Linked DNA regions of Arabidopsis thaliana. The protein of the gene in region 1 purifies or fractionates together with the protein of each later gene. This does not show direct contact. Each region holds a gene or a part of one and is shown on either strand. Other genes may lie near its edges. The genes, in order: HDT4 and AT5G08630.

Region 1 (4,798 bases):
TTGTTTATAATTTGTAAACTTTCAAAACTAGATATCGTTATATCATCTATCTTATGATAATTAATACAGAAATGAGAAAAGCAACATAAATACATACTACATAATAAAAATACGTAGTTTTCTAACATGCTTTTATTTCACAAAACATAGAAAAAAAACTGTGTGCACTTTGTGAAAAAGATTGTTTTGCTTCATGCATTTGTGAAATAATACATATCAGATCAATTTTATGTATCGTACTTTGAATTCATAAAAATTGTCTGATTCATGCATTCAAATCCATTATGAAGTTTTCTGTTACAAATGCATCTTTTAGTAAAAAAGGAAGTATATAATTAAAATTCATTTGAAGTTTTCTGTTACTAATGCATCATGTACATGAATATACTGTAGTAAAATTTCTACTAAAGGGAATGAACTTATTCTCATAATTACTTTGATTTCACAAAGATTACACAAAATCAATTGTGTTGACCAAACTAAAATACTACTACTAAACTTAATTAAAAACAATGATAATCATTGAGTATTTCAAGAGGTGAACACTATATTACAAAGTAACCAATGAAAATAACAAAGAGTCGAGTCCAAACCAAAACCTTAGTCCAAATTGGTTTCTACGACCCAGTGGATATAACAATTTCATAAAATTCATAGCCACCGGTTAAACCTGGACCCAATACCGAACTCACACACATAACTGAAACTCCAGTTCACCTCCTATAGCCGGTTCCCTTCTCTCACACTCTCAGAAATTTCCAAGCAATTTCTCACCGTTTCGTTATCTACAAATCCACTATAAATACTTCACTCTTCAGCTTTGTATTATTCTCTTAACATTCCATTACTCTTATCCTTTTACCCTCATCATCCTCCACTATTTACAGTTTTGCCACTCTGACTTTATGCTAGCTTCTTCCGGTGACTGGCGATAACACGAGAGAGCCTTCGCCTTCTCCAAGCTTCATACTCTTCCGACGATAAAGATTAGAAGACATGAAGAACGGTAACCGGAAAACAACGCCGGAAACAGAGAAGTCTCACCGGAGAAAGTTATCAGAGAAAGCGATGTCGTTTCACGGCAGAGGAACAACGCCGTTATCAAATCCAGGCGAGCTTCGAAGACCGAAAACGTTACCGGAGTTATTCTCCACCGGTCAAAGCATCACCGTACCGGAGACGGTTTCACTTCCGCCACGTTTGACGAAACTTTTACTTAACGTGACGGTACAAGGAAGTTTAGGAGCCGTACAAATTATAATCTCGCCGGAATCCACCGTGAGTGATTTAATCGACGCCGCCGTTCGTCAGTACGTTAAAGAAGCTCGCCGGCCATTTTTACCGGAATCTGAACCGTCACGATTTGATCTTCATTACTCGCAGTTTAGTCTTGAGAGTATTGTAAGAGACGAGAAGTTGATATCGCTAGGGTCGAGAAACTTTTTCTTATGTGGTCGGAAAGAGACCGGAGGGTTTATCGGCTGTGGTTTATCGTCGGAATCTTGTTCTAAGGAAGCAGAGAAAGTGGCTAAAACTGGTTTTCATTGGCTCAAATTTATGGGCTTCTAGAAGTTTTTATCATTTTGAATTATTGCTTTTTCAAATTAGTTCCATTCTTTAGAAAAAGGATATAAAAAACATCTGTGTATATTATTTCTATGTAGAAATGAAAATCATTAATTAGTGGTGTATAATGTATTTTAATCAATTATATACCAAGATGATTATATGAAGTTCTAAAGTTTACCAATACTATTTTGATGAAATTCTTATTTTATTATATAGTTGAAAATCTATAAAGCATTATTCGTGGATGAATATAGCCATGAAATGGGTATTATAAACTGAATAGAACATTGTATATTATATATTATCTTTTTATAATATCTTTTTTGGACCTCTAATAATAGAACTTTTGCATTCTGTTTATGTGATAACGACATTGCCCAACCTTATCCCTAAAGTCAGACATTTTTGAGTAAACCAATTTGATGCCGTGTTGCTCTTCCTTCTCTTATTTGTTTAATCAACATTCTTTCTCTTTGATCATTGAAGCAAAGTTAATTACCCAAATCATAGGCAACTCTTATGACATGGCTATAAAATTAAAATATATCTAAAACCCATCAAATAAGGCCGATTCAAAATAAGCCCACTAAAAATAAGGCCCATTAATATACTATTCCAAAAGAAGTAACTAAAAACCCTACCTGTGAAAAGGAAGTTTAAAGGAGTAGTAAGAGTAACCTTATAAATAAGCCGCTCCATTATTTTTGTTTGTTTGAAACAAACTCTAAAACCCTAAATTCTTCTTCTCAAGCAGCCACATCTTCCTCTTTCACTAGCTATGGAGTTTTGGGGTATGTCTCTCTCAAAATCATATCTTTATTAAGTTCTACTGAATACCTCAATGACTCCTATTGACTGTTTTCGCCATTAAAGTTAATCATTTTGGTATTCCTAAGTTCGTTCTGTGATTAAAAATCTGGTCTTTATACAAAAGCTTGCCTTTCTTCTGTATTGAATTCTCTCTATTACTCAATACGCATTTTCTTGTGTTCAAAACTATACAATTGTTTGGGAATATTAGCATTCTTAGTGTTTAGGTTTCAATGCATCTATCTTTGTGAGGTTATGTTTCAAAGTATCTATCTTTAAGAGTTTATGTTTCAAAGCATCTATCTTTGTGAGTTTAGGTGTCAAAGTATCTATATCTTTGTGAGTTTAGGTGTCAAAGCATCTATCTTTGTGAGATTTTGTATGAATTTGTACTCAAATGTGTGATGAATAATGTTCAATTTTAGGTATCGAGATTAAGCCAGGGAAGCCATTTAAGGTGATACAAAAAGATGGATTCATGGTCCATGCCTCTCAGGTCTGTATCAGTTTTGTAATTCCTGCAAGTTTCTCTCTTTGTGTAAATCCATGATTGATATTGATTGTGTTACTTGTTGTAACATCTCTTAGGTTACCCTTGGTGACGTTGAGAAGGTTAAAAAAGATGAGACTTTTGCCGTTTATGTGAAGATTGGTGATGATGAGAATGGGTTTATGATTGGAAATCTCTCACAGAAGTTTCCTCAATTTTCTATTGATCTCTACTTAGGGCACGAGTTTGAGATTTCTCACAACAGTACAAGCAGTGTCTATCTTATTGGTTACAGGACCTTTGATGCTTTTGACGAACTATATCCTTTCTTTCATTGTCTTTTTCTAGTTAAATTCATACTCACTTGCAATTTTGAAGCTTTGTTTGTTTATCCTTGATTTTGTTTTGCTCTGCTTTTTTCTGATGCTCACGGATGAGGAGATTGATTCTGGTGAGTTTATAATTCTTTAGTTGATGATTTGGTTTACTCTATTATGAAGCTTGAAGCTAATCTTTTGCTTTTTGGTTTGTGTAGATTCTGAGTTAGATGAATATATGGAACAACAAATTGGTATGTTTACTTTTTTTACTAAGCTACTGCTTTGTGGTAGTCATATTTACATGTGTATCTCTTATGAAATCTAACTTTGACATTGTTGAAAAGCTGCTTTGCCTCAAAATGAGATCAATCCTGAAGAAGATGATGAATCCGACTCAGATGAGGTAGATTTTTCTTTTAAGTATTTACTGATTAGCAATGAATCAGTATAAAAAAAAAGGTAATCTTGTTGTTTTTTTCTGTATGTTTGGTTAGATGGGTTTGGACGAGGATGATGACTCTTCAGATGAAGAAGATGTAGAGGCTGAAGCACCTTTAAAGGTGGCTCCTCCGAGCAAAAAGATGCCAAATGGTGCATTTGAGATAGCTAAAGGTGGAAAGAAGAACAAGTCATCAGGTAACGAAAACTAAAGTTAAGATATATAAAGATAACTTTGCATATGAGATGAGAATTGTGGATTATTGATTTGGTTTAAAACCATTTTGGTGCAGGAGGGAAGAAGAGATGCCCATTCCCTTGTGGTCCCTCTTGCAAAAAGTAGAAGATATTTGCACACCAAGTCACATTTTTCCAATAGAAATTTTTACTTGACTGTATTGGTGAATCGTTGAGTGACTTATGAGGCTTTTGGCATCTTAAAATTTTTGGATTATTATAATATATGTTATGTTGTCATTTTGGAGTGTTAATGGGTTTAAATGAAATATGATTTTTGCTCTTTTCAAGTTCATAAAATTTCGAAGTTGCTGGCTGATTCATGATAAGTACTATACAATGTCGATATGTTATGATCTAATCTTGATCGCAATACTAAGTAGATGGAGTATATTAAATCAGAAATAGTTGAACTAGAATATGCTCTAACAATGTATTTTATGTACATGAGTTAGAAAGAAAGAAAAAAAGACTCATTTTCTTCTAGTTTGCTTTGCCTTCATTGAATTAAAAATTCAGTGAAAACAATTCAAAATATAAAAATAATGATAATGCGTCTGCCGGGAGTCGAACCCGGGTCTATTGCTTGGAAGGCAATTATCCTAACCGTTGGACTACAGACGCTACTTGTGATTTATATATTACAATTTAAAAATAAAATCGAATTTAATTGTCGAGCGTTCCAAAACTACTAGACTTTCTTTCATACTCTGTAGTCCACTTGTTTTTTTTCTGAACGAAACACAATGTGTTACTTGACAGAAGATAATTACATTTGTTCTTGTACTTGTACACATGTAAAACGAAGCATTTTAAAATATACACTCGAACATTTATCATTCGCTACAAACGATTAACCTCTTGCTTTCTGACAGCTCCGACATACATGGCCAAACAAACCAAACAAAAAGAGAAAACTTACAAACGAAAAGGT
Region 2 (7,757 bases), on another chromosome or scaffold:
CCATTACTCAACCTCTGCAAAATTCACAAAACCAATCCATTAAAAACATTTTATAAATTAATCTACATTTTTATACAAGAATCATAATAAAGTTCAGACCAGAATCTGATCGCCGATGTGAACAATGACGGCGGAGGGAATATACTCTGCATCGAACCAGTGATCATCTTTGAAAACTTGAAGTCCAGGAACTTCGTTAGGAACAAGAAGAGTGATTCCACTGAGATCTGTATGAGCCGGTACACCTAAAGCTAAATCCGGCCGAGGACACGGCGGATAATAGTTAATCTTCATCATATACTCCGCCATCTCTCCGCCGAGACCTTCTTTCAACGCATCACGCTTTAACCCTAATCCATCCGAGAGAATCCCTAATAACGTCTCCGATAGCTTCTTCACATGCACTGCATACTCTTCATTCACCTCCCTAATACATTAAACCAACGGTTAACTTCGGTTTACAAAATTTGAATTTTTGATGATTCTGTTTTGGTTTACCTGTATTCAGGTGGATTCTTAGGCCAGAATCTGTAATTGACGCATGACGGTGGCCAGATTCGATGGAAGAGATGATCGACCCAAGCTTTTTTACCTTCTGGATCTTTCTGAAGCTTTGTTCCGTATCCTTCAATGTCTTTCGAATCTTCCGGTTTAGCGACGGATTCTTTCTCCGACGAAGGAAGCTCGAAGAATTTTCTTCCGACGTCTTGTAAACGTCGTATCAGCTCCGTCGGAATCCCGTGGTTAACCACTTGGAATAGCCCCCATTCTTCACTCGCTTTCACCACCGCGCGCCTCACGCTTTCTTCGTCGGGATCGCTTAGATCGACGACGGGAATCGCCGGCGTTGGACCTCGGAATGTTGTGATCGCTGGTTGTTCTTTCTCTGATCTGATGAACTCCAACGGGATTGCTTCTGTTAGTAGAGAAGAAGATGAAATGTCTTGGACTCTTTCGACCTCCATTATTTTTTTTGGTAGTTTGCGTTGCCGGAAACAATGGCGGATATGTAATTTGGGGGATGGTGTTACGAGTGGTTTTAAGGAGGGAGGAAGTGAGGACGTGGCGAAATCTTGGCCGCTGGATAGAGACAACTACCACATAAAGTACGTGTTGATATGTGTAAGTCGTCGAGGCTTCGTCACTCACGAGTTTGGTACCAAGTTTTGATAGATTTATGGATGAAGAATTTAATTAATTTGATTTGTTGTTTTGTGGTGGTAGTTTTAAGAAAAGGAAAAAAGTGATGTTATTATATTTTAGGCCATAAAATACCATATTTGAAATAGATATTTTAGTACATATTTTTGGCGGGTGTTCATGTAAACACAAATAAATATCATCTTGAGTCGTTGACAAAAACAAAAACAAAAACAACAAACTTTGGTTGGCCATTCTAATTACTGTAAAGATTTTCTTCTGCATTTCGATTGGTCCATGAATTTTACACAGGAAACATTATTTAATGACTTGGTTTCTAGAGTGGGTTATTTGAAGTTTTCTTTTTTTGGTCAAACATCATTTGGAATTTAATCAAATAATAATGGTGGAGAGTTAAGGCTTTACCATTTTAAATCGTAAGCAATGAATAAAATACTGGTTTCAAATCCAACCCCATTTAAAGCTAAAGATTCAAGGCCCATATAACAAGACAAGGCCCAGTTATTGGGCTACTATAGAAAAAGGAAAAACTACAGTATAGGGCTCTAAAACAGCAACACCTGTATAAACAAAAAAAGGAAACCGAGTGCTACTTAAGATATAAAATAACAAAAAAAAGGTGAGAGGCTAATTCGCATATTAAGTTTTTTTTCCCGTCTTTCCCATAAGGAAGGACGACGACCAAAAAGAGCTGAGAGCGAGAGAGAGAGAGAGAGAGCGAAGAGAAAAACGAAGAGAGACGGTGAGATCTCAACACTTGTATTCTTTCCTTGAGAGACCACCTCTCTCTCTCGACGACGCGCATTCCCAATTTCATACATTCTCCGTAAGATTTTTGATTGAGTCTCTCTAATTTCGTTGTTTATAATTCTCTCCAATCGTTTTCTTTGTTGTGGCGGGAACATCGATCCTCTTTTCTTCTGCGATTTTGCTTTCTTCGTTGTGATTTCGTTGCATTAGCTTCGAATTTTCGTTCCGTTTTGTTTGTTATTGATGATTGTGTTCGTCTCTTCTTTGTTACATGTGTTGTTATGCTTTTTTGACTGCTTTTTGTGTGTTTTACTTGTCCGTTTCGCCTTCTGGATTCTCCGAAAGTGGCGCATGATAGTGCTTTCTTTTTCTCGATCTCTCTTGGGTATGTGTTTTGATTCCTCGGTTTCGTTTTGGTTCCTTTGCTCTCAAGTGTCAATTTTGTCCCATGGTTTCAGATCTTTTCTAATTTCGATTGGGATTGCGATTTTTCTAGGGTTTAGTGCTATCTCGGTTTCTTCTGCATTGCTTTTCTTAACATTTTTCATTGGCTTTTCTTTTTTGCACATGATCTCACAAGTACCACTTGCTTTTCCATAGGCTCTGTCGAATTCAGTAGAAATTAGAATCAGCTCTAGGCTTGCATGCAATCATTTGCATTCTGTGCCACAAATTTGTACGTTTGCTAAGTTTTACTTGACCGTTGTGTCACCTTAAACGCCTTATGGGTTGATTTTCTGTTCTCCATGGTTTACATTTTCCGCTTTGGAACAACTGTGACGTCTTGCTTTTGTATACAATTCCCTTCTTGCTTGGATGACCTGGTTCTACATTTACTAGGATTTCACATTAGTGAATATGAGAATCACTTATATAGACCATTCATTTTTGTCTACACTGCAGGTTGGTTTTGCCATTTGAAGGATGCCTCTACTAAAAAAGAAGTCACATAAACTACTGGAGCCCCCAAAGAACTTGGAGCCTCAAGAACTTGTCTATCAAGTTCGTCTAACAAATGAGATCTTTCGAGATTATCAGTATCCTTATTCTGTAACTGTTACAATTTTAAGACTTATGTTTTGAATATTTGCCTTCTCCTTCTGTGTGCAGTTAGAGGAAAGAGAAATAAGCTTAAAACTTGTAATTCTGTTTGCCTGTTTCATTCTGGGACAACCTTTATTCATATTATTCTTCAAAGGCTTGGTTGTTCATGTTTATCAGTGCACATGCCGTGTCAGAACTATTTGTTTGCTTAACATAAAATAGATTGTACTTGAAGAGGTTAAATCTGTATCGCAACCGAGTTTGGACTTGTAAGTCTACTGGTAAAACTAGCTTGAGCTACGAGGAGGCCTTAGATTCAGAAAAACTGGCAGGCAAGAAGGTTCAAACTCTGCCCAGAGAGCTAGTTGCACCTGCTTTACGCATCATCCAATTCAGTAAGTTTTTAACTCCTTCATTGATTATTTTTATGTGATATAAGTGTGTCGAAGTCTTGATTTGCAGAGTGTCCAAGTCTTGATTTTACCTTTCTCGGTTTCTCTCTATAAGTTTTGCAAATCAGGACTACCTTTTTACCGTTTTGAATTTGTTTGTGTAAGATAATTTTCTTAATACTTGAAATCTCTGGTTTATGAGCATTATTTCTGACTCTTTTTCCTCCATTTTGAAAAGGTACGCTTTCATTGAAAGATCTTGCTGACAAAATAGCGACAGAGTTGCAAGATTGCTTTTTCCCTGGCGCAGAGTTGTATGGGGAAAGGGATGGGGAACTGCATCCTTGCAAAATCTTGAGGATAGTATCAGATGGGGATAGTAAACCTCAGTATGAGGTAGGCTTCCTTGACAAAAACAAGGAAGTAGATGATAACACAGTGCTCTTTGGGGAGGATCTGTCATGGAAGAAGTTTCCATTTAGTAGAAATTTTCTGAAGTCCTTCATTCGAGATTCCACATGCCACAGTATACCTTGGGTAGTAAATGATTACCTGGCTAAAGCACATGAAATCACGAGAAAGATTCCCAAGGAACTTCAGAACAAATATGTCTTTCAGAATGGAGAACTGGTTCAACAAAGGAAGCAGGTTGATATAAAGTACACCGCCATACAATAATTTGTAGCATGGCCTAATAATTGGTCTATGTACTAATCAGTTTTGTCTCATCGCTAAATTATAGGAAGATAAAACCGGAAGGGAAAATAGAAAAAGAAAGAGAGCAGAAAATGGTAAACATGTTGCAGAGGAGACAGATAGAGGTAGCTTTGCATGGATGCTCTGCAATTCATTTCCATTTCAATGTTTTCTAAAGTTGGCCAAAAGTTCCTTTGCGATATCATTTACATTTCCGGTTTATAGCTGACATCAATAATCTTACGTGTTCTCTTGAGCTTATGGAGAATATTGTTGACTTGAGGAATAGAGAAAAATTTGGTCTTTTTTGTGTACTTTTGAACTGATTTCTCTTTGTTGGTTTTCTCTTTCCAGAGGTTAATGGGTCTGAGGAAGAGGCTATCAATTACCCAATCGAAGATTTACTTTTGCCACCTGATCCTGATGTCACTCAGCGTCCTTCTCCTTCCCGGGATTTTAGTGTTCCTATGGATTGTGTTGGGGATCTTCTTATGGTCTGGGACTTTTGTACCTCATTTGGTAGGCAGCTGCATCTATGGCGATTTTCTCTTGAAGACTTTGAAAATGCTGTCTGCCACAAGGAGAGTAATTTGGTTCTTATCATGGAAGTGCATGCCTCTCTTTTTCGGTTCCTCATCAATGAACGTGGTGATAGTTTCAAAGCTTTACAGAGAAGGAGTCGCAAGTCGAAGGTCAGATCCTCGTCTCATGAAAATCATATTTGGCTAACAAATTAGGCCGCACAGTAATATGCTTTTCTCATTCAACATTAAGTCGCCAGCCTTGTGATTTTTCAGTTTTGTTTTTGTGGTTGATGGCATGCTTGTTGCTTTATTTCATCTTATTTCAGATAACATTGATCACGTGGGCAGAGTATCTTTGTGATTTCCTGGAATCAGTCAACACTCCTGATTTGTGCTTCGATGTTGGAACGATCAAACGTGGACATTATGGTCTCTTGGACCCAAATGTAAAATTGAAAATCTTAAGGGAATTAGTGAACCATATAACCGAAACAGGTATGTTCAAGGGGGAAATAGATGAGCTTGTTGAACAACGGCATGCCCTTGGAGCTGCTAGAAGAGAAGAAGCATTGGCGGAGGCCCGACAGATAAGAGAGGAGAAAGAACGGTCCAAAACTGGTGAGGAAGCTAATGGAGTTTTAGACAATAATAGGTTGGAGAAAAAGAAAAATAGCGCACAAGTATTAGAAAGCAGTGAAGACAGCAAAAAGAATGAGAGCACTGCAGGGGGAAGCAAGATGGAGAATGGGTCTGTTTCTTCGGAAAACATTGAAAAATCAGAGAAAAGGTTTGGCTTATCCTATTTACACATAAGCAGAACATTTTGTTTTTGGATGACTTGGTGGGAGCTCATTGTTCTTATGGTTGTGATAGGCTTATAGGGAATGTCTATCTGAGAAAGCACAAAAGGCAGATGACGGATACAAAAATCGAACCAAAAGAGGAGGAGGAGGATGAGAAAGCAGAGGAGGACGAAGAGGAGAAAGGATTTTCAGTGAAGAAGCAGGAGGTAAAATCTGCAAGCGAAGATGAGAAAGGAACTTTTGAAAGGAGGGGGCCCGAACAGAGGGTAAAGTCCGTCCCCTCATAGTTATATTTGGTTGTTTGCATATATTCCCCGTGTGTGCTTTTTTTACCCATCAAGTCTGAAATTTTTTGTATACATGCAGAGGCAATATTATGAGCGGGAGATGGAGAAAATAGTCATACGTACAAACCCCTTGGGTAAAGATCGGGACTACAACAGGTACTGGTGGTTCCGAAGCAATGGGAGAATATTTGTTGAGAATTCTGATTCCGAAGAATGGGGCTATTATACCGCCAAGGAAGAGGTATCATCAATCCACGTGGTTCATTTCTTTGTTTGATAAATGGATTGTATAGTTCTTGTTCCGATTTGTGTATGTTACTTGAGATCCAGCTGGATGCATTGATGGGGTCACTAAACCGTAAAGGAGAGAGGGAACTGTCATTATATACACAACTAGAGATATTCTATGACAGAATATGGTCAGTTTATAGCTTCCCATTTCTATTTTGCATAATCTGCAGTATTTATTATTCTGGTAACTTGTTCTACCCTCACTTTAATGCACATGTAGAAGAGTAACACCACATTTATCGAAGTCCCCTTGTTTATGTGTAATGGCTTTAAAACCTGGCGATGACTTGTGATTTGCAGCTCTACACTACAAAAGAGGACGAAGGACATTGCTCACAACATAGAAATGGAAGAAGCAGTGGTTAGGAGATCTACCCGTGTAAGAGCTCCACTACATGAAAATCCAGCTAGTGCCTTCTTGAGATATGTTAACAAGTGGAAAGAGGACTAAACGTAGCAGAATTCAATTCTGTATAGGAAAAGCTTGTAGTTGCAGTTGCAGCCATAGCCAAAACTTACCATTTTCAGCTTGTCTTCTCTGTTTTTTCTTTGGCTCCTTTAGGGTTTAGTAGAGCTTTTTACAAGTTACAACAAAAAGGCATTAGTCTTATGGTATGGTGAAGGCAACGCTTGAGTAGAAAGATGGTGTTGGGTTTTGTTTTGTTTTTCTGTTACCATTCATCATCACCTTCTTTTCAGTACTCTATGATACCGAGGTACCATTTATTTTTTATTTTTTCCGGGGAAATTAGAAGTTTTATTACTATTCCTAAAATGTTTCATTGCAGATTTGCATCTATGTCTGATTTTGGTTGGTGGCTATATTTCTAAGCTTTGTTACAGAAGACTTAGATTAATTAGGCTAAAACCTTTTGACTTATTTTTGTTTTCAGTGCGGTTTGATAAATTTGATGGCATGTCATCTTTGTTTTAGCTCCAAAATAAACATTTAGGACCATCGTTGTACCCTTGTTTTTTGTTTTAAAAAAATCAAAACATGAATTTGGTAGTTCGACATTTGAATCTATACAGTATACAACTACTCGGAGAAGAAAGTCAGTTCTCATTTTCAAATCCAGGTAATTACACCCACACCTGTGGGCTGTAAGACAGAATTTACAATGTTGAACAGCCTAGCTATGATTCAGAAGCAAACCAAGGACTACAAGTCAGGTTTAGTTTTCAGCCAAAAAGCCAATCGGAACTCTTTCTTTTTGGGTAACAAATTCGGTTCGGTAAGATGAACCGATTAGATAATTTTTTGGAAGAGATGAACCGATCAGTTAACCAAAGAAATTTCTATTTTTTCTGAATTTTTTATTTTCGGATTTTTGGGCTCCGAAACAAACCGGATCTTGACAAATTAGTAAATTACCAAATGAAATTCTTAAGAAGGTAACTTTTACCAAAATGCCAAACTTCAAAAAAGCAATAAAGTTCAACACAAACAATACCATTAGGCAAAGAAAGAGAAAATCTAGCGGGAACGATAATTTCTCTTTGCAGGTTTCTTGTCAAAACCTGGAGCGACTCTAATACCAGGAACGTTTTTGAGACCCATCTTGCCAAGAATATTTACAGGGATAGCCGGAGGGATGCTAAGTCCCATACTGCGGCTAAACTCATTAGCTAACTCCACCAGTCTGGTCGTGTCTCTAGCAATCTTCTTCTGCGATTTGTAGTAACCCAACCATGCCTGATATGCCGCCTCCTTGTTCGTCATTTCCACTTGGATAAGCCCTTTCTGCACCTGATTTTAACATGTTTTCAACACCCATCAATGCTCACTCGAGTTACATACTCTTAAGA

The links.
Region 2: the proteins of HDT4 (region 1) and AT5G08630 fractionate together in Arabidopsis thaliana (co-fractionation; one large-scale study listed by BioGRID). This does not show direct contact.

The regions. Positions count from the first base shown.
Region 1 is NC_003071.7:11,859,738-11,864,535, forward strand, and holds HDT4 (histone deacetylase-related / HD-like protein), read left to right. Parts: upstream 1-2,068; 5' UTR 2,069-2,347; coding exon 2,348-2,360; intron 2,361-2,790; exon of another isoform or gene 2,791-2,804; coding exon 2,805-2,875; intron 2,876-2,967; coding exon 2,968-3,188; intron 3,189-3,300; coding exon 3,301-3,320; intron 3,321-3,404; coding exon 3,405-3,440; coding exon of another isoform or gene 3,441-3,514; exon of another isoform or gene 3,515-3,533; coding exon 3,534-3,592; coding exon of another isoform or gene 3,593-3,640; exon of another isoform or gene 3,641-3,683; coding exon 3,684-3,825; intron 3,826-3,920; coding exon 3,921-3,970; 3' UTR 3,971-4,171; downstream 4,172-4,798. Other genes in the region: AT2G27830 (uncharacterized protein), read left to right, coding at 997-1,569. UniProt on the Arabidopsis thaliana protein: Probably mediates the deacetylation of lysine residues lysine residues on the N-terminal part of the core histones (H2A, H2B, H3 and H4).
Region 2 is NC_003076.8:2,797,217-2,804,973, reverse strand, and holds AT5G08630 (DDT domain-containing protein), read left to right. Parts: upstream 1-1,802; 5' UTR 1,803-1,987; exon of another isoform or gene 1,988-2,296; intron 2,297-2,814; 5' UTR 2,815-2,835; coding exon 2,836-2,948; intron 2,949-3,177; coding exon 3,178-3,350; intron 3,351-3,585; coding exon 3,586-3,995; intron 3,996-4,089; coding exon 4,090-4,168; intron 4,169-4,397; coding exon 4,398-4,735; intron 4,736-4,893; coding exon 4,894-5,354; intron 5,355-5,440; coding exon 5,441-5,636; intron 5,637-5,736; coding exon 5,737-5,898; intron 5,899-5,987; coding exon 5,988-6,076; intron 6,077-6,248; coding exon 6,249-6,399; 3' UTR 6,400-6,964; downstream 6,965-7,757. Other genes in the region: FLS1 (flavonol synthase 1), read right to left, coding at 1-14, 100-427, 499-965; STRS2 (DEA(D/H)-box RNA helicase family protein), read right to left, coding at 7,426-7,698.